4 linked regions of the Rhinolophus ferrumequinum genome follow. The protein of the gene in region 4 purifies or fractionates together with the protein of the main gene of each other region. This does not show direct contact. Links are inferred from orthologs where the notes say so. Each region holds a gene or a part of one and is shown on either strand. Other genes may lie near its edges.

Region 1 (7,681 bases), on a different chromosome or scaffold from region 4:
TCCATCTTAAAACTTCACTATTCAGCCTGTCCAGGGGCCATCAGGCATGAAGACCATCATCTTTCCTCCCTTCCTTCCTTCCTACCTTCCTTTCTTCCTTCTTTCCTTCCTTCCTACCTTCATTCCTTCCTTCATTCCTTCCTTCCTGCTTTCCTTCCTTCCTACCTTCATTCCTTCCTTCATTCCTTCCTTCTTTCCTTCCTTCTTACTTTCCTTCCTCCCCTCACCCTTTCTCTTTATTTCCTCAGGTCACCCAAGAATGATTTAAACTAGGGAGTCTATTTAACAATTTATCCGGAGAATTACAACTGGTGTCTTACTAATATTACCCTAGTTTGTTTGTATACTCCTTACTGTGGGGAAATAAAACAGACACTGAATTTTATCTTTCGGAAGCTATTTTTGCAGGTGGATCCTTTCATTTCTGATAATCTACATGCTCAGTGTTAATAAAGAGCTCCATTTCATACAGACTCACATAAGCAGGAACACACTTTCGGTGAAGATCAAGGGGGACCCCTGATCTCCCCATGACTTGTACACTCACAGAAACTTGAGAGTGATGCACCAGCCAGTAAGGGGACCTGGGCAGGGTACCAACAGCATTCACTACACTGGTGATTCTTAATTTAGTCAAGTCACTTCAGATATGCTCTATAGAGCCCCACCCAAAGTGCCAACCAAGCATTATGCTAAGTGATCGGTAAATAACAGACATTATCACAGGCATGGATAAGATCAAACATCCTCAGCCTCCGGTTATGAACACAAACAGCATCAACTAAACAAAACTTTTACACTATAATCCTAATCAACTCTGGGCTTCAGAGTCATAACCAAAACATGACTGTGGTTAGCTGCAACCAAAAAGACAAGGAACGCTGGCCTAGATGGTATTCCTCGGATGCTTTTCATTCTTGTGTGTCTATGGAAAGAAATGTTGCCTATATGTATAACTCATTACCAAAGACTGTTGCAGGGTTTCTTTCCACATTTGAGAAAAGGGCTGAGGAATTGCTAGGAGCCTTTCAAATTTGATCGGTTTTCTCATTTGCAAAATGAGGATGAAGTGCCGCCATCTTGTGGTTATTTCATGCAATTTCCTTTCCTGAAACTCTGCCCAGTACTGGCGTTTAAACACAATCATACTCAGTTTAAAGATGGGGATATGTTCTGAGAAATGCGTCATTAAGCAATTTTAGGCAATTTGATCATTGTGCAAACATCAGAGAGTGCACTTACACAAACTAGATGGTATAGCCTACGCTATCTGGTATACCACATCATATCATATATAAGGTTTGTCCTTATGTGGCACATGACTGTAGCACATTCCGTTTCTATAGGTCTCCATTAGCGTTGCCCATTGCTCAGAGTAAAAATTCTGAGTTAATTTACACCAAAATAACACAGTGAGCCATAGACGGGGCTAAATAAAAGAGGAATAGATGCTACCGTGTCTGTATGATCCTTCCCAATAGGTGAATAGTCCTATCTACCGAGAAAGAAAAGGCCCCAGGTGCCACATGGCTTTAAAGTTTGAGTCTGGAACAGGCCTGGGAAACCCACAGCTCCCCCTCAGCTCTGCTGCACGTGCAGGTCATTTTCTCAGCTGGAACTTTTTGGGAAATCTGTCTTGTACATCACCTCCAAACTAATCTCTAATCAACCAATGCTTGATGGAAAATAAGACTCTCATCAGACCCAAGTCACTCATCCTGGCCTTCATTCAAGGCTTCCTATGTTCTGCGTCTTACATGTTAGATCCTTCATGTTCTTTGTCCAACTACTGACCAGGATGAACCTTACACCTCTAGCAGGTTATTTCTGGTTTTTGCTTCCACTCTCCTTCCTCCATCAATCTTAATGACCTACACACTCTTCCATAAATACCTACCGTTGTTTCCCTGAAAATAAGACCTAGCCAGACAATCAGCTATAATACATCTTTTAGAGCAAAAATTAATTTAAGACCCAGTCTTATAGTAAAATAAGTCTTATAGTAAAATAAGACTGGGTCTTTAATATAACACTAATATAATATAAATATAAAACTCAGTCTTGTATTAATTTTTGCTCCAAAAGATACATTAGAGCTGATTGTCCGGCTAGGTCTTATTTTTGGGGAAACAGGGTAAAACCCCTTCTGGCCCTGAAGTCTTCCTCAGGAGCCCAGGCTCCCCCCAAAGTGTCTTCCAGTCAGCCTCCCATACTACTACATTTCAGCACTTGGTTATGTTCCGTCTCCCTGGATTACAAAATCTCTGAAGTCAGAGGTCAAGAGTTAGTATTACCATTGTCTTTATTATTTCCCTAGATCTCCGCATTGCTTACTCCCTTGCTTAAGATCTCTGCTCAAATGTCACCTCTTCACTGAGGACCTCTGTGAAACAATGCAAGATTCCTTAACACTTATCAATACCTGATACATGACATATTTACTTGATTTTCCATCTCCCCACAGAATGTACTCTCCATGATGGCAGTGACTTGTTGGTTTACTACTGTATCCCTACACCTAGAAAGATAACTGGCATGCAATAGGTATTTAAATTGGTGAACTGAGTAAAACAGCTGGCCTGCCCAAATGTGAGTGGGCATCATCCAATACTTTGAGTGCCAGAACAGAACAAAAGGTGAAGAAGGGAGGGCAGATTGGTTCTATCTCTGCTTGAGCTGAGACATCCATCTTCGCCCCTTGGACATCAGCCCTCCTGGTTCTTATGCTTAGACTCAGATGCTCATTTATCTAAAATATGACTTGGTTAGCTTTCAGCTCAGTGACTCCTCCGGCTTTTTGTATTTAATCCACAGAAATGTGTTTCATTATGTATATATACATATATATATGTATATACATGTATATATGTGTGTGTACATGTTTCTACATGCACATACTATGTGTATATTTATATACATATGTGTATGTGTATGTTTACCCGAGACAAAACTTTTACAAATCAATACCCTTACTCTATGTGACGTACTATTATTTCCTATTCTCATTCATCCTGTGTTTTTTTTTAATGCTGGCCAAGAATGTCTAAATTAATTCTGCAATCCCCTAAAGGACTCTGACTTCTTTGAAAACTCCTACCTTAGTAGATACGCACTGGTAACTCCGGGAATATTTAGGATTAAGTATAGAAATAATGAAGTAAATCAAAGGCATAGCATTAATATTCTCCATCACATTTTGGAACCACCTATTTTTTTTTTTAATTCAAGTTTATTGGGGTAATTGTTAGTAAAGTTATGTAGATTTCAGGTGTACAATTCTGTATGACAGTATCTATAAATCCCATTGTGTGTTCACCACCCAGAGTCAGTTCTCCTTCCATCACCATATATTTGAGGAGCCAACTATTTAATTTGGTATTTATAATGTTTAAGAGAATTTAACATTACAGATTATTTTTGCAATTCCATTTTTAAATGTGAAATGAACTGATTCAGACTCATAATTGTAAGTGGATATATATATAACAGAATTTAACCATGTTTGCAAGCAATATTGAGATTATGAGATTTTAAGATTTACCAACATATTTTTAAGTTTAATATGTTGGGTTTTAAGAGTGAGCTCAGTACTCGGATTTTTGTCAAGTAACTGACTTGCTTAAAAAGAAAGAATATATTACATTTGTAAGTGTACTTTAGTTATAGGAATTTAAGTTATAAAAATCCCCTTAAAGATTGTTTTAAATTTACCAGCATACATACTACTTTAGGATAACCAGGTTTCAATATTAATTATTAAAGCAAAGGTAATTTCGAAAGTCGCCTGCGTTTCCAAAAGCCACCCTCGTGCACAAGGCAGCAGCTCCAGTTCACTCGGAGAGAACCGGGTGTTCAGATTTAAGGGCCCTTCAACAGGATGAGCAACACATGGTCCCGGCAAAGGAGCTGGGTTCTATTCAAGAGGAAGGAGAAACTGACCTAGAAGACGTGGAATCGTCTTTCTTTTCTATTTTATCGCCTGCCACCATCATTTTTAAAAAATAATACATAACATACAACTTAAAAACACAAAATCAGCCACGAGGAGTGACTGCGTCAGCGCACCCCAGGTCCCGCTTCCGTCCCCCAAGAGGAGGAAAAGGCGCGCGGCCATGGGGCTCTGGGAGGGTTGTCCCCAAGTGGCGGGAAGAAAGGGGTTTTGGGGGATGCGGGGAGCCGGGGGGGTCTGGAGCCTGAGGTCACCGGCGCCGCGGAAAGCGGGCTCGGCAAGTTTATCTGGGAACGGAGGCCGCGACTAGCGCGGGGCCTCCAGACCGATGTCACCTTAGCCTTGCGGCCCGGAATTTATATCATGAAAAAAATTAGGGCCTGCACTATCATCCAGAAAAGCGTTTTTCCAAACCGTCCAGTCTTGCGGCCTGCAGGGCCCGGCCCCGGCCCGCGCGTCCGCGGCAACTGCGTCAGTTCGCGCCGCTGCTGAGGCCGGAAAAGGCCACCCTGCCCGCGCTCGCGCCACCTCCACTGCCATCCAAGCTAAGGCGATACCATCCCGCGGACCCCTCCGAACAGCCGGAAAGGTATCGTCCCCAGCCTCTGATTGGCCGGCGGCGCGGGGGCGTGGCCTCCGGAGCCTGGTTCTGCGCGCCAGAGCCCACTCGCCGCATTGCGAGCCGGGCCAGGAGCGGGCGCCATGGTGAGGAGTGGTTGTGGGGTGCGGGAGAGGAGAAGGCCGCGGTTTGGGCCTGGGTTCGGACCAGAGCCAGGGCCGGAGCCTGCCCTGGGAGCGGGGCCAGATGAACGCGGGGACCGCGCTGACGCTGACGCTGGCGCCCTGACTCCCGTTCCAGGTGCTGCTGCACGTGCTGTTCGAGCACGCGGTTGGCTACGCGCTGCTGGCGCTGAAGGAGGTGGAGGAGATCAGCCTGCTGCTGCCGCAGGTGGGTGGAAGCGGTGGGCTTGCGGGCCACACGGTCCCCAGCATGCACTGCGCGCTCCCACGTGGCCGGCCGCTCGCGTTGTGGGTGCGCTGAGCCTGAAAGCTCCAGAGCAGGGGTTCCTTACCTGCATTCGAGACTAGAATCGCGTTAGGACCATTTAGAAGTAAGCGTCCGGCCCTCCACTCAGTATCCAAGAAGAAGAACCGGGATTTAGGGCCAAATAATCGATCGGTTCATTCTTCAAGTGTTCAGTTGGTTCTTATATACGTCCAGGGCTGAGAACCGTTGCTTTACTGCGCCCTAGAGGCGACAGCGCGGGAAGGAACCTCCCATCCTTTTTCTACCCCCAGGTGGAGGAGTGCGTGCTCAACTTAGGCAAGTTCCACAACCTCGTTCGTCTCGTGGCCTTTAGTCCCTTTGCCTCGTCCCAGATTGCCTTGGAAAATGCCAACGCTGTGTCTGAAGGTGAGTCGGCCACCTCCAAGTATTGCAGAGATTTAAGCAGAGATATAGTTCCTCCTACTGTATAGTTCTTCTCCTAGGGAGTTGATGATAGTATTTGCCTTTATTCGGCTAATTTATTCTAAATCTGATTATGTTTTGGATGGTATTTGATGTGTACAGGATGTGATTTAAAATAGTCTTTCAGAGCTCCTGGTCTGAATGTTATATTTAAAGCACACAATCCAGCATGCAGTCTTACCCTGTGAACTCTAGTGATAAATGATTCTCAAATGCAATGGCGGGGGGGGGGGGGGGGGGGGGGGGGTGGTACTGGTTCAGTGCTAAACCTTTACAAGTGGTTCTCTACTATTTGGTTTAATTGATTGGAAAGAGCATTTTTCATACATGAAAGCCAAGAAAAAGGTTTGGTCCCAGAAGGCAAATCTGGAGCTAAATACTTTAGTAGTTGATGGTGCTCAGGGGTGTGCTTTGAGCTTTCAGTTATGCGTTTCACCTTGTACTATTGGACCTGAGTCCTGTTCTTCCCGTGACCCATTCACGCTTTGCAGTGATGACTTGAGTCTGTCAATCCCCTGAGTGCAATCACTGATGTCTCCATGTCTCTGAGCAAAGCCTGAAGGGGAGGGGTCTAGGCATGCCTTCCCAGCATGCTCTGCTGGACCAATGTAAGAACAGTCTGTCACTTAATCAGCAGTTGAGGACACGGGATCCCTTTTATGGTTTAAGCATCCTTCAATCTGTTAGTGGGAGCTCTGTTTTTTGCCCTGAGGTGTTGTTCATGAGGACCTCCGCCTGCTCTTGGAGACTCACTTGCCATCCAAAAAGAAGAAAGTACTCTTGGGGGTTGGGGACCCCAAGATTGGTGCTGCTATACAAGAAGAGTTAGGGTACAACTGCCAGACTGGAGGCGTGATAGCCGAAATCCTTCGAGGTGAGACAATTATCTGTTAACATTCATGCCATTCTTGACATCTTTGAGGGGGTTCCGGAAACATATTAGGGAGCTTAAAGTTGCTTCTGGTAAGTCCTCCTGCTTGGCTGGTGCGCATGGGTGCAGGAGCTAGCTCAGAGCCCTTCGTTGCTCATAGTCTTGCCCTCCTCCAGGAGTTCGTCTGCACTTCCACAACCTGGTGAAGGGGCTGACCGATCTGTCTGCTTGTAAAGCCCAGCTGGGGCTGGGACACAGCTATTCTCGTGCCAAAGTTAAGTTTAATGTGAACCGGGTGGACAATATGATTATCCAGTCCATTAGCCTCCTGGACCAGCTAGATAAGGACATCAACACCTTCTCCATGCGTGTCAGGTAAAGTACGGGGCAACCCTTGAGAACGGGGCTGTGGCCTGTGGTTTAGCTAGTTTTGAATCGTGAGATGAGGACTGGCTCCTATGGGTAGAACTGTGGGGTGGGGCTGGGCCTCCCGGTGCTTACCACAGGCTGTGTTTTTACACTGACTGTACAGAAAGAGGAGGCAGAATAAACCCACCTCATATACACCTCAGCCCAGGCCCTTTACCTGGTCTGTATTGTGAATGGGGAGACATGGAGTTGAGGAGGTTTGGGATCTGACTTGTTCCCACTTCCTCCCGGCAAAGAGTAGTTGTGAAAACAACTGAGGCTGTGGCTTTATTTATTTGAGACATGGCAGCTGGGTGAGGGAGAGATTGGGCTCTTTGCAGGGAGTGGTATGGATATCACTTTCCCGAGCTGGTGAAGATCATCAGTGACAACGCTACCTACTGCCGCGTTGCTCAGTTCATTGGGAACCGAAAAGAGTTGAATGAAGAAAAGTTGGAGAAGCTGGAAGAGCTGACGATGGATGGGGCCAAAGCTAAAGCTATTCTGGATGCCTCGCGGTCCTCCATGGGTCAGTACCAAAGCCTGGCGGCCAAAGTAAGATACAGGGCTCTGAATATCTGGCTCCTGCATTCACATTTGGTGTCCTTCAGGCATGGACATATCAGCCATCGACTTGATAAACATCGAGAGCTTCTCCAGTCGTGTGGTGTCTTTGTCAGAGTACCGCCAGAGCCTGCACACTTACCTGCGATCCAAGATGAGCCAAGTAGCCCCCAGCCTGTCGGCCCTAATTGGGGAAGCGGTGCGTCGTGGAGAATGAAAAAACGGGATTGAGCAATGTTACCATGTATATCTGTACTGCTGTATTTCCTGACCTGCCATGTCTTCCACGGTTGCCCTTGAAGGGGGGTCAGGGGGAGGTGAAGCAGGATTGTGCAGTTGGCAGGTTGGCCATTCCAGCTTCTGTGACTGATTCCTTGAATCCTTCTCTAGGTAGGCGCACGTCTCATTGCTCATGCTG
Region 2 (7,071 bases), on a different chromosome or scaffold from region 4:
AGAGCCACCCTCAGCAAAGGCAGAAAAGATGGGAGCCTGTACCTTGGCTACTGCCATCTCAAAGTCCTCCTGTGTGACGTGGACTCGCCGTCCCGCAGGGCATACATGCCAGCTTCGGTACACACACCCTGAGCAGGGAAAGGAAGACAGAGGTGTTGCTGTGCCCTTGAACCCAGAGCCTCCTACCTCTGCCCCCTTTCCCTTGGGCTCTCCAATTACCTTCACTTCAGCCCCTGATGCCCCTGGCATGAGCTCAGCGATTTTTCTCAGGTTGATCCCACGGGTCAGGTTCATTTTTCGAGAATGGATCTTCAAATGTCCAACCGAGCCTAGAGATGGGAGAGGAAAAGACCTGAGTGAGCCCCACCACCTACCCACAGCCAGAGCCACTCCCAGCACTGCCCATCACGAACCTCCTCATTAGGGGGTGGAAATTCAATTTTTCTGTCGATGCGCCCTGGGCGAAGCAAAGCCGAGTCTAGGATATCAATCCTATTAGTAGCCATGATAACCTGAGTACAGAAAGGGTGTGGCATCAGCTAAGTCCTTCCTCAGGCCTCTCCTCACTTCACCCAGGGCCTTCCCTGGCTCATCCCATGGCCGACAGCACCTTACCTTGATATTCTTGGTGGCCTCAAAGCCATCCAGCTGGTTGAGCAGCTCCAGCATTGTGCGCTGCACTTCACTGTCCCCTCCAGAACCCCCCTCCAGCCGTGAGGAGCCAATGGAGTCAATTTCGTCCATGAAGATGATAGACGGAGCGTGTTCTCGTGCCATGACAAACAGCTCCCTCACCATTCTTGCCCCTGGGTCGAGGGCAAGCTGGCGTTACGGAGCTGATGAGCTTCCTACCCTAACCTCCACCCCCTCACTTCCACTTGCTTTGCATGTTTCTAGCCACAATTACCTTCCCCAATGAATTTCTGTACCAATTCAGAGCCAGAGACACGAATAAAGGTGCAGTCTGTATGATGAGCCACAGCCCGGGCCAACAGTGTCTTCCCAGTACCTGGGGGTCCATATAGAAGCACTCCCTGGAGAGAGACAGCAGGACTCAGGGCAGAAAGCCAACCCCACATTTCATCCCCAACATTTACTGAGTGCTTGCTCTGCTAGACCACACCAGACGCTCAGGGATACAGACAATGAACACCAAGGTCCCTTCTGCAGCTTGTATCCCAACGGCCTCAGCACCCGGCAGCACCTCTGTCCCAGGCCCTCTTCAGCTCCCCTGCACCTCCCGGACCCGTTTGGCCTGTGGTGTACACAACAGCGTGGTCCCCCCACAGAAGCCCTGCTCCTCACCTTAGGCTGCGCAATGCCCAGCGCTTCAAAGAGCTCAGGATGCTTAACAGGCAGCTCGATGACTTCTTTGATCTCTTTGATCTGCTTGTCCAGTCCGCCAATCATCTCGTAAGTGGAATCTGGCACCTTCTCCACCATCATCAGGGACACCAGTGGGTCCACCTTGTTGGGCAGGATCTTGTGCAGAGTGTAGCTGTCATTTCTTAGAGCCACCCGGCAATTGGGTGTCACCTGGGCGAGGGGAGAGCATTTCAGGATCTGGTGTGGGGACAGCTGACCCCAAGGTCCCCACCTCACCTGCTGTACTCACATCATTGATGTCAATGTTCTTGTCCACGTCCACGACAAACTTGCCCTCAGGATGTACCTAAAGAAACAAGTGCTGAAGCCCTTCCCTGATAGCCACCAAGTCACCAACCTCACCCAGGGAGATCCACAAGTCCTAGAATAACGTGGCAGAACAGCGTCCTCACAAGGCTACACACAAAGGTCTGGGAATGCAGCGGGTGGTCCCTGGGGTCATGCTGCCTTTACCTTAACTAACACTTTCTTCTTATCCATGGCCCGGACCACTTCCCCTACATAGGAGCCCTGCTCCTGTAGCAGCTGTAGCTCTTCCCGCAGCAGACGAACTAGATGGGAAACACATAGTGGTCACTCAGCTTCTTTGGTGTCCCCTCCTCCACCATTCAATTCAATATGCATGAACTAAGCACCATTTTGAAGTTCTGAAGGGAAGGCCACAAAAAGTCAAAATTCATGTCTTCAAGGTGGTTACAATGGGGCTCGGGAGAGAGCTCTGCACGTGAACTTTGTAACAGTGCAAAGCATCACCTTGGACTGGGGGAAAAAAACGCCAGTGTGAAGACTGTTCAGCGAGATTTGAACAGTCAGACCTCAGACCAACTGCCCACATGCAGCCTTCCCATCTTTCTCTCCTCACCTTTTGCATTAAGCTCATTCCTTTGTGCCTGCAGCCTCCGGAGATTTTGGCTCTTATCATTCACAATCAGCTATGGAGGACAAGAAACAAAGGGCAGAAAACAGGTTAAGATCTTAGCCAAGACCTTCAGAGGCTGGTATGAGCTGAGTGAGGAAAGAGCACAGGGCACCTGCATGTTGTTTCAGATTCTCCCATATGATTCTAACGACCCTGGCCTGCCCTCCAAGAGACCCTCTGGAGCCTAGGGCAGCCATCAAAAAATGCTGCTTGTCTAACACTGGTCCAGGAATAACAAACCCTATTGGAAAAAAGTTACACCTGGCTCATGTAGTCAATTTCTTGCAGGACAACATATCAACATGCTAGAGTGGGAAGATCTCTTGAGTCAGAAGCCTAAGTTCTAGTCCTCCTGCTGCCAATAAACAGCTAGAGAAAGCTAAGGAAAGCCATTTAAAAGGTCTAGTTCTGTTAACAAACTGCAAGTGGGCATAGCATCACCCACCTTGCTTCTTTTTAGGACTGTTGTGAGAAACAAATGAAATCACATGTAAATAAATTTCAAAAATGATAAATCAACTATAATACCTATAAATGTACCTGGAATTCAAAAATATTCCCTGTGGCATTCCTCCATCCAATTTATATCATTTTCCTTACTTCTATGGTCCCCGTTCCCTCTTCAGGGAGCAGTGGGTCACCCAATTCCTTTTCATTCAGTCCCATGAAATCAGTCAGCGTTGTCCAGACTCCTCAATTCTGTCTTCTGTTACACTCTCACTCTGTCCCAACCCCTCTCTGATAAATCTCATCTGAGCCCCTATCTTCCCTTTTATTGGATACCCTCTCAATCAGGCTTCTTCCAAAAGAAATGGCCCTTGGCTAGGGGTACCTTTTCTGCTTGACTCTTGAAGGGGTAACAAACTATTACTTCTTCCACTGCGCCTCCCAGTGGAATTATATGGATTTGTAAAAATCTCCATCAATTCTTCATCCCCGCTTCTAGTTCTCTCTGGACTTCTGGAGTCCGTCCTTACCTGCAGTTCTTCAATCTTGGACAGATAATATTGGCGGAGTCCACTTCCTGCCTTCCCCTCTTCCAGCTCCATCTGAAGACACAGTGTAATTATTAAACAACAGGCTAGCCCTCCAAAGAATAAAACCACCTCCAGTTTGGACCTTGGAGGTTTAAGATCTGGGTTCCAAACCCTCACTCCAATTGTTCAGAACCCTTCACTTCCTCATGACTAAACTAAAAGCAGACTGAGAATGCCGCCTACTTCATGAGACTTGCAGGAGGATCAAGAGACGATATACACAGAAGCGCTTTGTACCGAGTTAAGCGCATAACAGACCCGAGGTGTTATTACTAGAGGCGGAGCCAGTAGGAAGGACGGGTGCCCCGTCCCCTACGACTCGCTGATGGACCCGTTCCCGCTCCCATTGCTCCTCACTCCGCTTTCACTGTGTCATCCTCTCTTGGCCCTGCCCCGACCCGCCGGGCGGCGCTGACACAGCAGATCCGGTCCCAAGCAGGACCCAATCTAGACTGGTCCATCCAACCCCGACCCACCCGACCCTCTTTCCCCGGCCGGCGGCCCACCTCGGATCACGCCTGCTCCGCATCCAGCCCCGGTGCCCGCCCGGCCGCCGCCGCCGCCATACCTGCTCTGGCCCGTCAAGCGCCATCTTTCCCCTGTCGCGGAGAACGCCGGCATTCGGCCGCCTTGGCGCGCAGGCGCAGAAGCAGGGCCTTGGAGGCCGAAGACCGCGGCAGAGAAGAGTTCCGGGTCAATGGGCGGGGTGTGCGAGAGACGCTAACAAATAACAGGGGCCATGATAGGAGGGGTCTACGCGAGGTCGGGAGCTTTCGAAGGGGCTGACGAGAGCACAGAACTCCTAAGAGTTGCTCTCTAGAAACTCTGTTTTAATCCAAGTAATATGCTCCCTTGGTCCCACCTTCCAACTTATAAAAGCCGGCGACAGAATATATAGATAGCTTTTTTTAGTGTGTGTGTGGCCACACCCCAAATGGCGGAAAACGGGGCCCCGGCGCAAGCGGAAGCGGAAGTACGTTTGGTGCCTCCATGTGCCGTCCAAGAGTGGTGGAAGCGGCGTTGGCTGGTGTTGAGTGGTGTGGTTAGCTACAGGGCAGAGTGTGATTGCCTCGGTAAGTGGGGAACGGACACCGGAATCTAGTGCTTAGGGAAGAGACGTTCCAATTCTCCTTTCTCCCTAGGTTGAGTGACACTCCCCCGTTCCACCATGGGCAAGAAGGGTAAAGTCGGGAAGAGCCGGCGGGACAAGTTCTATCACTTGGCAAAGGAAACTGGTGAGTCTGGGTTCGCGCCTTCCGCGAGCTAGCGAACGAGCGACCTTGTTGAGTTCGTCCCCCTTTCCAAACATGAGTTTCTCTTCCGCAGAAAGGGTGGTGGGTGGTGAGTCTGCAGAAATCCCGCTGGGAAAGCACTCCGCGGACTTGTATTTTGTCGCCCCCAGGTTATCGTTCCCGCTCTGCCTTCAAGCTGATTCAGCTGAATCGCCGCTTTCAGTTCTTGCAAAAAGCCAGAGCCTTGCTGGATCTGTGTGCTGCGCCAGGAGGATGGTGCGTAACAACCAGCACCTGTCACCTCTGACAGCCAGCTTTCTAGGTTCCAGCCTCGGGTGACTGAAAGTTGCATTGGGGGAGGGAGTAATAACAATAATACCAGCCTCGATTTCTCTACTCCTCAGAACATACACTGCAGAGAAAAAGTTTGGAAGTGTACATAGGACATGCTCTGGCCACTGCGCTTGGCCCGGCTCCTAACACTGGGGGTGACAGATCACATTGCCACAGGTAGAGGGACAGTCCTAGGTATTTTAATCTTTATTCGTGTTTTATAGGTTGCAGGTGGCTGCCAAGTTTATGCCTGTGTCCAGCCTTATTGTGGGTGAGTGACAGGTGGCTCTCCCAGGTGTTTTAGGGGTGGGAGTATGAGGTATTGTGTTCTACATTTCCTTTCTCCCTGCTTGAGGCAACATTTTGGAATACTTGGACCTGATTTCTTTCAGGGGTGGACCTGGTTCCTATCAAGCCTCTTCCCAATGTGGTGACACTCCAGGAGGATATCACGACAGAACACTGTAGGCAGGTGGGGGAAATCTCTTTCTTCCTGTCCCCTTTATATGTAAACATCCAGTTCTGTGCCACTTCCCACCCAAATCTTCTGAAGGCAAGATTTTTCCTGTTTACCATGGTTTGAGCAGTGCCTGAATGATGTCTGTAAGCCGGGATATGCCTCATGTCTGTTCTACCTTTTATTTGGTCAGGAACGAGGTATTTGAAATTAGAAGAAGTGCAGAGATTTTAATGAAATCCTTTCCAGTGGACTTACTAGTAGACCATAAGCTCCATGAAGACGTAGACATATCATTTTTGTCATCATATCCCTTGTACTTGGTGCACTATTTGGCCCATGGTGGGCACTCAACAAATGACGGGGTGGACAAATGGCTGAATCGGGGACTCCATTTGTAGCCATTCCTGTGTTTCTATTGCCATAATCTCTTTCCCTCTCTATAGGCTTTAAGGAAGGAGCTGAAGACCTGGAAAGTTGATGTTGTGCTCAATGATGGGGCCCCCAACGTCGGGGCTAGCTGGGTCCATGATGCTTACTCACAAGGTGCCAGGAGTCGGGCATGGAGGTGAGGGTAGAGGTGGGCATGTCCTCTCAGGCTGCAGAGGTCTTCAGCTAACCATTTCTCTCCCACAGCCCATTTGACACTGATGGCTCTTCGTTTGGCTTGTGATTTTCTGGCCCGAGGTGGCTGCTTCATCACAAAGGTTTTCCGTTCCCGTGACTATCAGCCCCTACTATGGATCTTCCAGCAGCTGTTCCGCCGTGTCCAGGCCACTAAGCCCCAAGCCTCTCGCCACGAGTCTGCAGAGATCTTTGTAGTCTGCCAGGGTGAGCATCACTTCTTTCTCTCTTGACTCAGTTTCCCAACTCCCAAAGCACACTTTCTGATGTATCTTATCATCTTAGGATTCCTGGCTCCTGACAAGGTTGACAATAAATTCTTTGACCCCAAATTTGCCTTCAAGGAGGTTGAAGTCCAGGCCAAGACTGTCACTGAGTTGGTGACTAAGAAGAAACCAAAGGTGCATTTGGGGAATGTGGCCACCCTCAGTTCCTAGAACTCGGGAGATTGGGTCTGGAGGGTCCTGACAGACACCCCAGAAGGGACTGCTCAACCTTCTTTATTTCCCTCCCTAAGGCTGAAGGCTATGCTGAGGGTGACCTCACTCTCTATCACCGTACCTCAGTCACTGACTTCCTCCGAGCTGCCAACCCTGTTGATTTCCTCTCCAAAGCCAGTGAAGTGAGTCCCCAGACTTGAGGTATAAGGGAACCCCTGAGACATGGCCTAAAAATTTCCTTTGACTTTTACTGCTCCTCCCAAACAGATCTCGCTAGATGATGAAGAATTGGCACATCATCCAGCTACCACTGAGGACATACGGGTGTGCTGTCAGGATATCAAAGTGCTGGGGCGCAAGGAGCTTAGGTATGCAGTGGGGTGGGGGTGGGTGTAGGTGCCAGGAGCCCCAAAGGCAGGGAAAGGCCTGTGAAGGCCATGACATTGGATCTCTGGGAATAGGATGCTGTGTGCTGGGCTAGAGGTTTGGGGTGGGGTCCTGAGCCTAGGGCTTACATGACTCAAACATGAAATTTGGGGTGTAGGCCTAAAACAGGAGGGGCAGAAACACAAAGGGAGACAGTAAGGTCAGTAATGGTATTTCTGGGCAGGTCCCTGCTGAACTGGAGGACGAAGCTTCGGCG
Region 3 (6,156 bases), on a different chromosome or scaffold from region 4:
CGTTTTAAGGGCCATTTTCTACTACTTTATCAAATTACTGGCACATTGAATTTCCTAGACAAAAATACTCAAAACAACTATGCTGAAAAAATGGTTGAATCATCCCTAACAACTTCCGCTACCAAAAATGAGCAACTGAGAAACGTTAGAAACTAAATCTAAGTTAATGCAGTATCAAAAGAATGAGAAATTGCTTACAAAAATGTTTTACTGACCAAAGTAGTTATGTTTTGTGGAAATGGGAAAGGTATTACCTTCGTATCTTTACCCTTCTTGTCCCTGGTTGAAGGGGGGATTTTGGGGGCAGGGGAATCTCCCTATAGGTTCACTTTTGTTAATGGAAACCTTCACAATAGTTACTACAAAAATATAATGATTGCTTCTTCTTTCCTGCACCTCATATTTGCCTTTTTTAAGGAATGTTTTTAAGGTTGCAGAAAGGCAGTTGATGGAAAATAGGAACGGGGAAGAAATATTTGGAAAATAAGCATAAAGAGCACTATATGCCATGTGAGTACAAAGAGTTGTTTGGGGCCGGATCATGAACATCCGAGACCAAGTACAATCACATTTTGTTAGGCAGAGAAGGCAGCTTTTGAGAAAAGTGACTTGGCCAGATCTGTAGAAGATAAATCTTCAGGACTGTCCTCTAGAGAGAATGGAGGCAGGAAACTGTTGGGATGCTGCTGGGTTAGCTCCCTGGGTATCAGTGAGGGTCCACGCAGGAAAACAGGTAGCAGTCAATCTGGGTAATTTAAGAAAGATCAACAAAGGGAATATTACAAAGATGTGGGCATAGTTTAAGGAAACTCAAAAAGAAGAGTGCTATAATAGCAAGAGCTGTGTCTATTCTAAGGCCTACAAGAACCAGGGAAGTAGTTACAGGAGGTAGAAGAGGGTGGAGAGTGCTGCCTGATTGGAATTATGGCCTTTTAGAGGAACGAGCCAGTCCACAGCAATCTGCAGAGGGCTGGGGGCACACAGCGCTTTACCTTACTCTCGTCACACTCTCAGATCTCCTGCTGGTGGCACCCATCTGGAAGCTAGGGGCAGAGAGCAGAGTGGAGAGGGAGGATCTAGAGAAGCCAATGAATAGACCCTGTCTAGAGGTAAGGTCCTGCTAGTGGGAACAGAAACGGTACAATATACACAAGGACAAATTTAACAGGACTTTCTACCTGGATGGACTGGGAGATGGAAAGAGAAAAGTCAAGAATGATGTCATAGTTTCAAGCCTAAGTTACTAGACTAGAATGACAATAACACCAACTGAGCCTATTGTTACTAACCATTGTATTTCCAATGTCCAGCACAGTATCTTGGGCATGAAAGGCCTTCTATGAACATTTTTTGGGGAAAAAGAAGTGAATGGATGTTATGTAGCCTTAAACATACTGAGTTTACAGTGGAAATACCCAGCAAGTGATTGGAGATTTCAGCCTAAAGCTCTGAAAAGGAAAGGGATAGAGATGTACCTCTAAGAACCACCTACACAATAAAGGCAGCTGACACCATGAGACGGGATGAAATGGCATAGACAGCAGGTATAAAGAGAAAACACGGAGGATCTGATGACCAAACTAGAGATCTGTCTGCATTATGAGACAAAAAGAAGAAGGGCAACCAACAAAGAGAAAAGGCAAAGGGAAAAGACAATATGTGCGACCTTTTGCTGTACTGTTAAAATAATTTCACGTATATTTGCACATCCCTCTTTTTCTTGACACTGCACAAACTTGCCTAACATAAAGATGATACAAATGCAAGCTAGAGACCTCCACTTACCTATTTGTCTCAGTAAGATTTTTTTTAAAGCATTAATTTCCAATTTTAATAGTTTTGTTTACCTTAAATCTAACATAGCCAACATCAATCCTTTTTTAATTTAGAAAAGTCTATTTAATAAGCTTATTTTTTCAAGCAATCATGTATTAAATACCTATTACGTATCCAGCACTATGCTCAGCAAAGTGAGTAAAAATCAGTCTCTAGTCATCAAGGAAATTGAATTCCACTTGGAATAAAAAAAAACCCTATTGAACATAAAACAAGTAGAGTCCAATTGAGAGCTGACCTGTATGATTCAAACCAAATAGCATTTCATCCAGTGAGAATTCATACCATTCAAGACCTGTTGACATCTGCGCTTTTTTTCCTAACTCAGAATATTGACAGAGGAGCTAAATCCTACATAGTTGCACTTCCTATTAAAAGCCCAATCATGCCATATGGTAAATTTCTCTTTACCTTTCTTTCTTCCCCACTGTTCCATAACGTCTCAATAATCTTTGCATCTAATGTCTGGAACATCGTAGTCATTCAAATGTTTGTTAAATGAATGAGTGAATCAGAAGCTAAGCCAGGTCCAGAGCAACTGTCAATGTCCTTAACTCCCTCCTACAGCAAATCCCCGAAGCTTTAAGGTTAACAGCAGTTACCTACTCTGGTCATTGACCCGGCCTTGGTTCAGGGGATGAGATATTACAGACTTGGCGCTGAGTGTTAAGGTAAAGGCTCAGAAAACCCTGGCAAATCTTAAAACCCTTTTAGAAAAGAGAAAGAAAGAAGATTCTAGCACAATGCCTGAAGCATAAAATGTGCTCATTAAATGGTTTATGAGTAAATGAACAAAGGAGATTGGAGGAAAGACAGTGAGTTCAAGAGGAGACCAAACTCGGGACAGGTATGACAGATGAGGCTGAATCTAAAGCCCTAAGAGGAACTCAACTGAATTTATTTCCTAATGGATATTATGTCCATATCTATAGGTTAATTCTCCAGCATAACTCCCTTTACTACGCCCAACCTCCCTTGAAAGGAAAATAAAACCTGTAAACCACACAACCAGCGCCAAGTCTGTAGTGCCTCCCAAATTTGATTATACATGCTCATCACCTAAAGATCTTACTAAAATGAAGGTTCTGAATTATTACATCTGGGGTGAGGCCAGAAATTGTGCCTTTCTAACAAACTCCCCGCCGGTGCTATAATGCTGATCCAGAGAGCACTTTTAAAGTATGGAGAGCCTGGAAGACATTACAGAGAATATGTATGTAGTCCTAAAGCCTTGAGTAAGCTACCTCCTGCTGCCAGATTTCCTAGTTGTATAACCTTAGACAAGTCATTTTACCTCTCTGAGCCTTCCTTTGTCATTAGAGGAATATGGTGAATAACAACAGCTAAGATTTATTGAGTGCTTACCGTGTACCGGAAACTTATGATAACAAGTTATCACAACTTAGGTTAAACAACCTGTCCAAGGTAGGTATAGTAAACCTAGATCTGATTCTAGGTAGTCTGACTCAAGAACCTGGTGTTTAATCACTGTTTAAGACTGCCTCTTTGGCTAAGCTCCCAGAGCCATTATGAAGATTAAATAATAGCTGGTATTTAGCTAACATTTATCGAGCACTTACATATTCCAGGCCCTGGTCTAAACTCCCTTGGGGGGCATATTAACCCATTTATCTCTGTAACAGCCCTGAGGAGGTTACAGGTTTTACATCAGGCCCAAACAAGTTAAAGGTGAAGGTCAAACACGGGCAGTCAGGATTGGAACCCAGGCAGTGGAACCACAGAGCCGGTTGCTCTTTTGCCACCGTCAGGAGAGGATGTGAGCCGGGCTCCGGGCTACCGGCGTTCAGCAAGCTGAGGGGGGCGGACACTCGCGCCCACTCAGGGCGGTCTGTAAGCCCGCTCACTCCCAAAGCAAACCAAGTCTTCTACACTTAGCTTCACCTGCATCTGTGCAAAGTGTCTTTCCTGGCCCAAACCCACGACCCCCATGAACGGGTCGGGGCTCCGGTGAAATCATTTGTCTCGTTCCAAGCCCACGACCCTGATGAGCGGGTCTGGTGAAATAATGTGTCTAGCTAAACATCTTGAGAACGCACTTTCACTGAAATCGTGACAGAGTCGCTCCGGAACCTCACAACATGTGGCCCCAGGAATTTGCGCCGCCCCACCTGCCAGCTCCGCCTCCATCTGGACTCGAGCCAAAAGCGCCACCAAGAATGCCATCTGCTCTCCAACACCGTCCTCTGCCGGCCTTTCCTGGAGTAGCCCGGATTGTGCACCAGTTCCGGTTGCTCCGGAAGTGAAGCTTTCTCTTCCGGGGCGAGCGTCTGGGTGGTCGCACGTGGTTGTGTTGCCTTAGTTTTAGCCGGCGCTGGTGGAGAAGTTATTTGAACTGGTTTCCTGGAGCGAGTGAGCCCAGCCGAAACTATGGAGGGCCAGAGTGTAGAGGAGCTGCTGGCAAAGGCGGAGCGGGACGAGGCAGAGAAGCTGCAGCGCATCACGGTGCACAAAGAGCTGGAGCTGGAGTTCGACCTGGGTAACCTGCTGGCTTTGGACCGGAACCCCCCCACTGGGCTGCGCGGGGGACCCTCGCCGGAGGCCGAACTGCGGGCCTTGGCGCGGGACAACACGCAGCTGCTCATCAACCAGCTGTGGCAGCTGCCCACGGAGCGCGTGGAGGAGGCGCTGGTGGCGCAGCTGCCGGAGCCCACCACTCGCCTGCCGCGCGAGAAGCCGGTGCCCCGGCCCCGGCCGCTTACACGATGGCAGCAGTTCGCGCGCCTAAAGGGCATCCGTCCCAAGAAGAAGACCAATCTGGTGTGGGACGAGGTGAGCGGCCAGTGGCGGCGGCGCTGGGGCTACCAGCGCGCCCGCGACGATACCAAGGAATGGCTGATCGAAGTGCCCGGCAGTGCGGACCCCTTGGAGGACCAGTTCGCCAAGCGGATTCAAGCTAAGAAGGAACGGGTAGCCAAGAACGAGCTGAACCGGCTGCGTAACTTAGCCCGCGCTCACAAAACACAGCTGCCCAGCGCGGCTGGCATGCACCCTACGGGACACCAGAGTACGAAAGAGCTGGGCCGCGCCTTGCAGGTAGCCAAGGTCTCCACCGCCTCAGTGGGGCGCTTCCAGGAGCGCCTGCCCAAGGAGAAGGCTCCCCGGGGCTCCGGCAAGAAGAGGAAGTTTCAGCCCCTCTTCGGGGACTTTGCAGCCGAGAAAAACAGCCAGTTGGAGATGCTGCGACTCATGAACAGCAAAAAGCCTCAGCTGGACGTGACGAGAGCCACCAATAAGCAGATGAGAGAGGATGAACAGGAGGAGGCGGCCAAGAGAAGGAAAATGAGCCAAAAGGGCAAGAGAAAGGGAGGCCGACAGGGTCCTGGAGGCAAGAGGAAAGGGGGTCCGCCCAGCCAAGGAGGGAAAAGAAAAGTGGGCTTGGGCGGCAAGATGAATTCCGGACCACCTCGCTTGGGTGGCAATAGGAAAGGAGGGCTACACCAAGGAGGAAAGAGGAGGAAGTAAATTTCACCCTCGGACCTGCCTGTAAACCAAGAACTACACTAAATGTTAACTTCTAGGACCTGTAGGAAGATGCAGAATAAGGGGGCTGCCTTCATTGAGCTTGAGGTTGAAGGGATAGGATTGCCCTCCCCTCAAGATAGTCTATGTAAATGTTGGACTCTACAAATTAATGTTTTTCCCACAACCAATACTTTGGCTGGAGATGTAAAGGATGTAGTTGACGACTTAAAAATTAGAGAAAGAATTTGGTAGAAACTAGGAATAAATTCTATTTTTTAACTTTGTGTATGGTGTGAGGGTCATATTTCAGAGACTTAGATTGATTTCTGTATTATTTTTCTAACAAGCTTGTGTATTTATCAAAGCAGGTGTGTCTGGGAGGGGTCGAGCACACAGAAAGATTACATTTTCAAAACTGGCCTTACAAGTAACTTGTTATTTAATAAAAGTGTATCTGTATCTAATGTTGCTTTTAACTCTTGACTATTGGTAGAAATCTTAAGTAAAGCCAGTGATTTGAATGCCTGGTACAGATTATTTTCATTTACTGTCTAAAAAACACAAAACAGCTAAATTATGATTTCAGTGAGATCACTTAGTTTAGAAAAATTTATGCTTCTTTTGGTATCAAATATTGAAAGTGTAACTGGTGTGTCTGAAAAAAAGAGTCATGCTTTTCAACACTGATTTGCTATAAATGATAAAGTTTAATAACGGGGTAATGATCCTCATTAATCCAGAAAATACTTAAATCTTTGTCAACATTTATGTCCCTGAATTTGTAAAGGTTCAAATAGGGTCTGTTTTGGGGAAGAGAAAACCCACAAAATCCATACT
Region 4 (8,052 bases):
AGGCTTTGTGGGACATAATGGTCTCTGTTGCAAATACATAACTCTGTTGTAGTGTGAAAGCAGCTATAGGTGATAAACGAGTAAGTATGTTGTAGTGTGAAAGCAGCTATAGGTGATAAATGAGTAAGTATGAATGTGTGCCAATAAAACTTTATCAACACTGAAATTTGAACTTCATATTTTTATGAAGTGTCACAAACTATTCTCATTTTGACTTTTTCCCAACCATTTGAAAAATGTAAAAACCATTCTTAGCTCTTGGGCCGTACAAAATCAGGCGGCAGGCCAGATGTGGCCCCTGTCATAGTTTGCTGACTCCTGACTTACTGGATTTGAGATGCAAAGGAGGGGCTGCCGGTTAGCTCAGTTGGTTAGAGCGCTAGCTCAGTTGGTTAGAGCGCGGTTCTCTTAACAACAAGTTTGCCAGTTCGATCCCCACATCTAGGGGGCCACTGTGAGCTGCACCCTCCACAACTAGATTGAAACAACCACTTGACTTGGAGCTGATGGGTCTTGGAAAAACACACTTAAAAAAAAAAAATCTGAGATGCAAAGGAGTGAGACTCCAAAAATAACAAGTTTTGAGCTCGAGTCACTGAGAAAGTTAAATTATCAATGGCAGATCTTGGAAGTGAGGAAACAGTTTGTAGAAAAGAATAAGTTCAATTTTAGGCAACTCATTTGGTGTTTCTCACGAGCTCACGCAGATAACCTTCCCACTACCCCCTTCACAATAAACAAGTGGGATCAAAGAGTGTTCATCCATACATGAGTGGGATCAGAACAGTCACTGCTTGAGCTGCAGGTTTGAAAAGCATCAAATCATTTGTATAAAGTTGCTGGCTGATGCTAGGAGAGGAGAGATTTCTTGGGAGAATGCTTTAATAGAACAGCAGCAAGCCAGGGGCTTATCCTGGAGAAAGCTCATAATTTGGGGGGGAGTTGGTACAAGAGACAGGGTGTACAGATTGAAAGTAGATGCTTGGTCACCCCAATAAATTAAAAAAAAATAGTCACGGGGATGTGAAGTATAGCATAGGGAATATATAGTCAGTTATATTGTAATAACTACCATGGTGTCAGGTAGATACTAGACTTACCAGGATGATCACTCAGGAAGTTATGTAAATGTCTAATCACTATATCGTACATCTGAAACTAATACAATATTGTATGTCGACTGTAATTAAAATGTTTTTTAATTTAAAAAAAGTACATACTTGGTCTGGGGATAAATTAGTAGGCCCTGATGGAGCCAGGTCTTGTTGAAATAATAGCCCATTATTCTCATACTGTCCTTTTTCCTGACCCCTAATGGATTCATTCTCTTTAAGAACCAGTGGATACTTGAGCAAATTAAGTCTCATAACTTCTGAATCAACATTCTGTCTCTTGGAATATATTTCAAAGAACCTTTTACAGAGCTCCATCAGGTGACAGGTACAAGAGTTTGTTGCAGTATAATTTTTGGTGGTGGGGCCTGGAGGCAACCATTGTTCAACATTGGGAGTGCAGATCGGTAAAATGTGGATTCATATCATGGAGCACTAAGCAACAGCTAGAAGCAACAAAATGCATGTGATATAACAACATAAATGAACCCTTTAAAAAGATATGTATGGAGAAAGGAAAAAAAGCATTTTACATGTACTGAACATTATTCTGTAAATTAGAAATGTGCACATGAAACAATACTCAGTCTTCAAGTATTTCACAAAAAAACATACAGTCAATATATTAGAAGGATTATCTATGGTGAAGGAAAGGAATGGGAGATGTAGAAACATAATTTTAAAGAGTAAAACAGTTGAAATGATAAGGTAGGTATATCTGGGATGGACTACTGTGCAACCATTAAGAATCTTATAAAGTACAGTCAGTAATAAAGGAAGATGCTTACTATGTAACTGAATGAAAACACATATATTCATATATATATAATTTCAATTATGTAGAATATATATACAAAGAAAAACCTTAGAATGTTATCTCTAGGAGGTGGTATTGTGACTTTAATTCTTTATACATTCTGTATTTTCTAAATTGAGTTTATCATTTTTGTATAAGAGTGAATCAATTAAGGGTAAAGAGTTTTAAAGATGTGGACCTCCACAAGGGAGTGAAAAAAAAAAAAAGAAAAAGGACAATGCAATGCTGCACTGCTTGGATGTGGGGGAGCTGTCGTAAGGTTCTTTATAGATTCTGAGGCCCATCAGAAATAAGTGAGTGTCAGTCCAACTCCCATCTCCTCTTTCTCCCTTGTCCAGCTCCTAGAACAAGCCTTGGTGATTGAGGAACAGCTGCGCCGTGCAGCTTATCTGAACATGTCAGAGGACCCCTCTCACCCTTCCATGGCCCTAAACACCCGCTTTGCTGAGGTGGAGTGTTTAGCGGAGAGTCATCAGCACCTGTCCAAGGAGTCAATGGCAGGAAACAAACCTGCCAATGCGGTCCTGCACAAAGGTAGCCAGTGGCTCCCCTGCCTCCTGCTGACTCAGCATCCTTCCTCCTCTGCCCCTCCCCCAACACACATTTCTTGTTTCCATAATGTTTTTTCAGAGCCCCTTTGGGAGCTTAGGATGTGCTGAGGATCTGGTGCTTTCCTCCTTGGGAAGTGATTATCTTAGAGGCAATCAAGGACAGTAATTCGTTGCCTCTTTTAACTCTTAACATAGTCAAGTTGTTGGAGGTGGAAAGCAAAGCAGAATAATATAGTGTCATCTGGGATACTTTAGAGGTGACTTCAGGTGTCTTTAAGATCCAATCAAATTCAACATTTTGTTTCTGATTAAAGTTAAAACATTGTGTGGGGGGGTGGAGGGTGAAGTGAGGAAAAGAAGGCTGTTACTAAGGAGAGGGAGACAGCTCCAAAAGGTGAGGAAAGACAGTGAAAAAAATGAAACAACAAGAATAACTTCTCAAGAAGTTGAAGAAATAGAGACAGTGGGAGCAAAGGACAGGATTAGGTGACTTTAAAAAGCATAGAATCATGGACTGGCGGAACTGGAATAGGAATAGAAATTTGAGCATGGTGGAGGCCAGGTCAGATGACTTTGATAAAAGGCAATATTAAAACACTCCAGCACACCAATCAATCACTTAGTCATTGAGAAGTCATGGGGGGCAGATCCACTATGGCAAAAAGGATCTCTGTCTTGACCACCACAGCTCACCACCTCTTTTATTTCCCTGTGCAGTTCTGAAACAGCTAGAAGAACTGCTGAGTGACATGAAAGCAGATGTTACTCGACTCCCAGCTACTATTGCTCGCATTCCCCCAGTTGCTGTGAGGCTACAGATGTCAGAGCGTAATATTCTCAGCCGCCTGGCAAACCGAGCACCTGACCCTACTCCACAGCAGGTAGGACCATTTTCTGCTAGCCTGCTGTTCCAGCAGAGCCATTCTGGATCTTGTAACTTTTGCTCTCTGTCCCTAACTGGGCAGATGGGGCTGTCTTACTAGTGAGTCCCCTTGGGATCTGGTGGATTCCTGTGGTCTGGAATTCTGACTCCTGTGGCTCTCTCTATTCTATAGGTAGCCCAGCAGCAGTGAAGATCCAGACTGATGATAAACACCTCCACCGCTGAGCAGTGACCTTCCTCACTTTCCCTTGCCCAGCTTCTCCCCTGGCGGCCTGAGAGACCCTCTCCTTCCTTCTGCCCATCTTCCATGTTGTAAAGGGACAGCCCCCACTGTACTGGGGGAGGGAAGGGAGTGAGGGGCAGTGGTGCCCTTCCTGCTGGAGAGACAGTGCAGCAGTAGCGCCGGCGCCATCTGCAGGGAGCTGGCGGGCTGGCCGCCTTCTGGGCCCTGGCTTTCCCCACTGTAACATCTGTTACACACAAACTGTTGTGGGTTTCTGCCAGGCTTGAAGAAAACGATCTGAATTTCTTCTTCCTTTTTGTTTTATTTTGTTGGTTTATTTTGTGTTTTCTTTTCTCCTTTTTTGGGGTATTCAGAGTGGGCCGGGCCCCTGGGCGAGACACAGCTACCTCTGTTGGCATCTTTTTAATACCAGGAACCCAGCGGCTCCAGCCACGGCTAGAATGAAATAAAATGGGGGAAAAAAAGAAAAAAAAAAAAAAAAGACAAGAACCAAAATCATAAAGCCACAGCAAATTTCTTGATGAAAATTGAAAATAAAAGTTTCCTTGTATTTTAGTGCTCTGGTTCAGTGTGGGTGTAGGTGCAAGTGGATGAATGTGTATGACCGGAGCCCTGGGAAATGTGTAATTGAAAACGAAAGTTTTTCTTGTGTTCTGATAGTCCACAAAAGCCATTTCATTTCATGTCTGTGTGCATGTGCCCTGTGTGCTCTGGACCAAGGCAAGTGGCATCCTATGGAACATGAGAGGCTTCAAAACGACCTGGGTTCATACCCTGTACTACCATTTAATGGCTGTATGACCTTGAGGAAGTGAACTTTTCTGGGTTGGGAGTTCTGTATAAAATAAAGATACCTTCTTCATAGAGCTGGGAAGAGAAAACCAGTTTTTAAAGCTACTAAGCACTACCTTAGTCCTTATTTGAAGGAATGCTTAAGGTTCTTTTTCGTGTGTGAAGTTAGCATGTAATGTCCTCCGGGCCTCCAGATGTGAACCTAAGCAGAGGAATCTTACCTGAAGGGCTGAGCAGGGGTCTCGGGTTAAGGAAGAGGGTTTCCTAATCAAAGGGTCGGGAGAAGGAAAACGACCGGATTCCTTGATCTTGAGGTGGGGCAGAGGGTGCCAGGAGGAGCGCCCCGCTATTACCTCTTGGTTTGGGGCGGCGGGGGGTGGGGGGCGGCTTTCAGGTACCAGTTTTTCTGACTGAAATCTGCAGTGAGACAAAAAATCAAGGCCGGGAGGGCAGGGCGGGGAAGCCGAAAACGGTTCCGCCCCCATGCCTTCATCCTCGGCGAGTAAGAGGGGAGCAGTCCGCCGCCGAATTTCCACCCGCCGCACCGCGGACAGCCTCGCGCGCGTTCCCAGGGCGCTCCGACGTTCCGGTTTCTGCCGCCGACAGGAAGCGACCGGAAGAGGCGGGGCCACGAGGCGAGCGCGCTCTGCGCCTGCGTGAAACGTTTCCTAGGTGGGTGGCGTTGGAACGCTAGCTTCGGATTGCACGTGGAGTGCTGTACCTCGTACGGAAGGGGTGTCTCGGGCCTGGACCCGCTTTCGGGTGAGCGGAGGCTTCGGATCGCCCCGGAGGAAGGCGGGGAAGGGAGTACTGACCTGGGCTAGGGCATGATGATGGAGACAGTACAAATGGCGTGGGATTCGGGTCTCATCGTGAAGGGAGGTTTGGTCAGGCTTCCCGTGGCTGCTGGGGGTGCTGAGTCGAGATTCTGGTCGAGACGATGCCCTTTCTTACTCCAATACGCTAAGGCTACGGTCTTCCTTTCCCTTTCCAATACGCGCGACTCCACCTTCTCCCATTTTTCTTTTCCCACTCAGTACCATGGGGCGCAAGTTGGACCCGACGAAGAAGGAGAAGCGTGGGCCGGGCCGAAAGGCCCGGAAACAGAAGGGTGCCGAGACCGAACTCGCCAGATTCTTGCCTACAGGTAAGGGTCAGGTATGCTTCTGGATTCTCCAGCTTTTACGCGTTCTTTCATTTGTATTTATAACCCCCTCCTTTTTTTTTAGTTTCTGTGTTTACTTTCTGTTCAAGTGGAATTTCTTTGTATGAGTTATTAGGAAGAATGAATGAAACGCTCACTGTCATCAGCGTTTAGAACTTAAGGAAGATGCGACAAGGACACAAGTACCCATGCAAGGAGGGGTGCAGTTTAACATTGAAGAAGTTCAGAGGAAGGGCGGTTCCATGCAGCTAGAGAACTTAAAGATTTTAAGAATCAGGGTTGAAAAAAGGGTGACACTTGAACAAGTGGAAATTGGGAAAAGGACAGGCTAGTCACTGTGAGCTGCACTGTGGAGGGGATGGGGATGGGAAAGCACAGGCCTGCTTTCCACATAGTGAATAGTCTGTGTGGAAGATGCCGTGGTAGTTTGTGTTGCACATTAGATTACAGACGCAGTTTATTGAGGTATTAGCAAGTGCTAGGCACTATACTGAACCTTTGCACACATTGTATCACTTCATTCTCTTAATGCCCTGTGAGAGAGGCACTGTTAAGGAAATGGATACTGAGAGGTTAAGTAACTTGCATATAGTTAGTAAATGACAGTGCTGAGATTTAAACCTTTTGTTTCTTGGAGCGTGTATGAAAAACAGCAGTTGTAAAGGTAAAATTTGCTGTGGTTGGTAACCAATTAAATTGAGGAAAAAGGAAAGGAAGAAGAAGAAAAGATAACTTTTGAATGTGTTATCAGGATGATGTATTATTTATTGAAATCAGAAGTCGGGAGGGAGGCCCAGTTTGGATTTGGTTGGTGAGATGGTGAGATCATCTCCTTACTTTTCTTATTCAGCTCCTGGGAGAGCACTGTAGAGTGAGTTACAGTTGGCTCCCTTTCATTAGTGTACTAATTCTCTCCCCACTTTATTTCCTCTACCTTTGTTCTTTTTCATATGCACTGTAACCTCCTGTTCTGCCTCTTTTTTTTTTTTATTATAGCTGGTGATGAAAATTCTAAAAGACTGTCTAGTCGTGCTCGAAAGAGGTGAGTGTGGATGTCCAGTCTTACGTAGATTAAATTGGTACTGTACGTCTTCAGCCAGATGATCTCCTGTGATGGGAAATGGTAGAACCTGGAAGTATGTTGCATTTCTTCACTCCTATATCTTTTCAGGGCAGCTAAAAGGAGGTTGGGCTCTGCAGAAGCCCCTGAGACGAGTAGGTGTCCTAGTGCCAACCCATTGACTAGAAAGCTACCAAAAGGTCAGTGAAAATAGTTGCTGGGAGCTATATGAGGTGTCCTGTGGGTGCTGGGTAGGGAATGGTTTGCTGCGCATTCCTGGAGAGAGGAACAGCCAAAGGACATCGTTGGGGGTAGAAAGTACAGGCTCCATCAGTGTGTGGCTATCATCAGTCCAGGATTCTTCAAACCCTTAGGGGTCTCTGCAGGAGCTGTCCGGACACCTGGGAAGAAGGGAGCCCAGTCCTTATTTAACGCTGCTCAAGGCAAGAAGCGCCCGGCACCAGCTCATGGCAGTGATGAGGAAGAGGAGGAGTGTGAAGAAGATGGTGTGGTAAACCAGGGGGAGTTGTGGGGCTCAGAGGACAGTGATGCTGACATGAAGGATGACTATGGAGCTGATTCCAACTCAGAGGATGACGATGACCGTGAAAGTGAAGAGGTGAGAGTTCTCTCTGGGTGTTCAGGAAGGGAGCCTTGCCTTTTAGAGTCTTTCCCAATCCTTATCCCTCAGTGACAAGGATAAAGATAAGCCTGAGTACAGAAAAGGGATCTCAATGTGTCGTCACTGTTTTCCTATCACCTCTACGTCCTCTTGGTGCACATGCAAGTTTTAAAAAGTTGTAGTAAAGCATTTTAGATATGAGAATGCTCAGTGCTGGTGAGAGTATGTGGTAAAGTGGACACTTGTATATCCCACTGATGGGAACAGAAAGGCACACACGTTTTATAAAGCATTTGGTATCTGAGAACCTTAAAATGTTTTCCTTTTGACTTAGTTATTCCGTTAGGAAGATGATCCAAAATGTGGGCTGGTTTATTTAGGTGTAAGAAATTACTTATGTATTCCACAACTAGTTTTTGGGTGTGTTATTAGAAAAATTCAAGCAATACAGAGTTGTGAACAAAAAGAAAGTTCCCATTTGCAGTCCTTTCCCACAACACCCCTTCTCTCTGCAGAGTTCCTATTATGAGATGTTGAGGCACCCTGTGGACTATAATGCCAAAAACTGAAAAATTCTAAAGTACCCAATAGGCATAAGTAAATTATGGTTCATTCATATGCTAAATTAACATTTCGCCATTATGTCTGAAAATGCTTGCGATCTGTGAATGAGAAAAGGCAAGAAACAAATTTGAAAATGCATCATGATTCTAATGATGTGAAAAATATAGAGTAAATCTGGAAGAAAACATGGCAGAATGGATGCCCAAGAGCAATTTTTGTGCCCCCCACATACATATGTGTGT

Evidence for each region.
Region 1: the proteins of NOP2 (region 4) and NOP56 fractionate together in Homo sapiens (co-fractionation; 3 studies listed by BioGRID and IntAct, with this or other methods). This does not show direct contact. The link is inferred for Rhinolophus ferrumequinum from reciprocal best matches to the Homo sapiens genes NOP2 and NOP56.
Region 2: the proteins of NOP2 (region 4) and FTSJ3 fractionate together in Homo sapiens (co-fractionation; 3 studies listed by BioGRID and IntAct, with this or other methods). This does not show direct contact. The link is inferred for Rhinolophus ferrumequinum from reciprocal best matches to the Homo sapiens genes NOP2 and FTSJ3.
Region 3: the proteins of NOP2 (region 4) and RRS1 fractionate together in Homo sapiens (co-fractionation; 3 studies listed by BioGRID and IntAct, with this or other methods). This does not show direct contact. The link is inferred for Rhinolophus ferrumequinum from reciprocal best matches to the Homo sapiens genes NOP2 and RRS1.

The regions. Positions count from the first base shown.
Region 1 is NC_046306.1:24,887,517-24,895,197, forward strand, and holds the start of NOP56 (nucleolar protein 56), read left to right. Parts: upstream 1-4,543; 5' UTR 4,544-4,651; coding exon 4,652-4,654; intron 4,655-4,808; coding exon 4,809-4,898; intron 4,899-5,248; coding exon 5,249-5,363; intron 5,364-5,905; exon of another isoform or gene 5,906-5,973; intron 5,974-6,132; coding exon 6,133-6,294; intron 6,295-6,467; coding exon 6,468-6,666; intron 6,667-6,775; exon of another isoform or gene 6,776-6,907; intron 6,908-7,040; coding exon 7,041-7,228; intron 7,229-7,310; coding exon 7,311-7,462; intron 7,463-7,653; coding exon 7,654-7,681. UniProt on the Homo sapiens protein: Involved in the early to middle stages of 60S ribosomal subunit biogenesis. Required for the biogenesis of box C/D snoRNAs such U3, U8 and U14 snoRNAs. Part of the small subunit (SSU) processome, first precursor of the small eukaryotic ribosomal subunit.
Region 2 is NC_046304.1:42,404,556-42,411,626, reverse strand, and holds the start of FTSJ3 (pre-rRNA 2'-O-ribose RNA methyltransferase FTSJ3), read left to right. Parts: upstream 1-4,059; 5' UTR 4,060-4,181; intron 4,182-4,263; exon of another isoform or gene 4,264-4,415; intron 4,416-4,484; 5' UTR 4,485-4,510; coding exon 4,511-4,577; intron 4,578-4,744; coding exon 4,745-4,850; intron 4,851-5,131; coding exon 5,132-5,178; intron 5,179-5,299; coding exon 5,300-5,379; intron 5,380-5,810; coding exon 5,811-5,910; intron 5,911-6,000; coding exon 6,001-6,195; intron 6,196-6,273; coding exon 6,274-6,389; intron 6,390-6,505; coding exon 6,506-6,610; intron 6,611-6,695; coding exon 6,696-6,796; intron 6,797-7,038; coding exon 7,039-7,071.
Region 3 is NC_046297.1:13,945,478-13,951,633, reverse strand, and holds RRS1 (ribosome biogenesis regulatory protein homolog), read left to right. Parts: upstream 1-4,118; 5' UTR 4,119-4,224; coding exon 4,225-5,319; 3' UTR 5,320-5,603; downstream 5,604-6,156. UniProt on the Homo sapiens protein: Involved in ribosomal large subunit assembly. May regulate the localization of the 5S RNP/5S ribonucleoprotein particle to the nucleolus.
Region 4 is NC_046293.1:23,811,283-23,819,334, reverse strand, and holds the start of NOP2 (probable 28S rRNA (cytosine(4447)-C(5))-methyltransferase), read left to right. Parts: upstream 1-5,018; 5' UTR 5,019-5,161; intron 5,162-5,436; 5' UTR 5,437-5,440; coding exon 5,441-5,546; intron 5,547-6,560; coding exon 6,561-6,606; intron 6,607-6,735; coding exon 6,736-6,824; intron 6,825-6,998; coding exon 6,999-7,243; intron 7,244-8,052. Other genes in the region: CHD4 (chromodomain-helicase-DNA-binding protein 4), read left to right, coding at 2,268-2,463, 3,198-3,361, 3,536-3,553. UniProt on the Homo sapiens protein: S-adenosyl-L-methionine-dependent methyltransferase that specifically methylates the C(5) position of cytosine 4447 in 28S rRNA. Required for efficient rRNA processing and 60S ribosomal subunit biogenesis.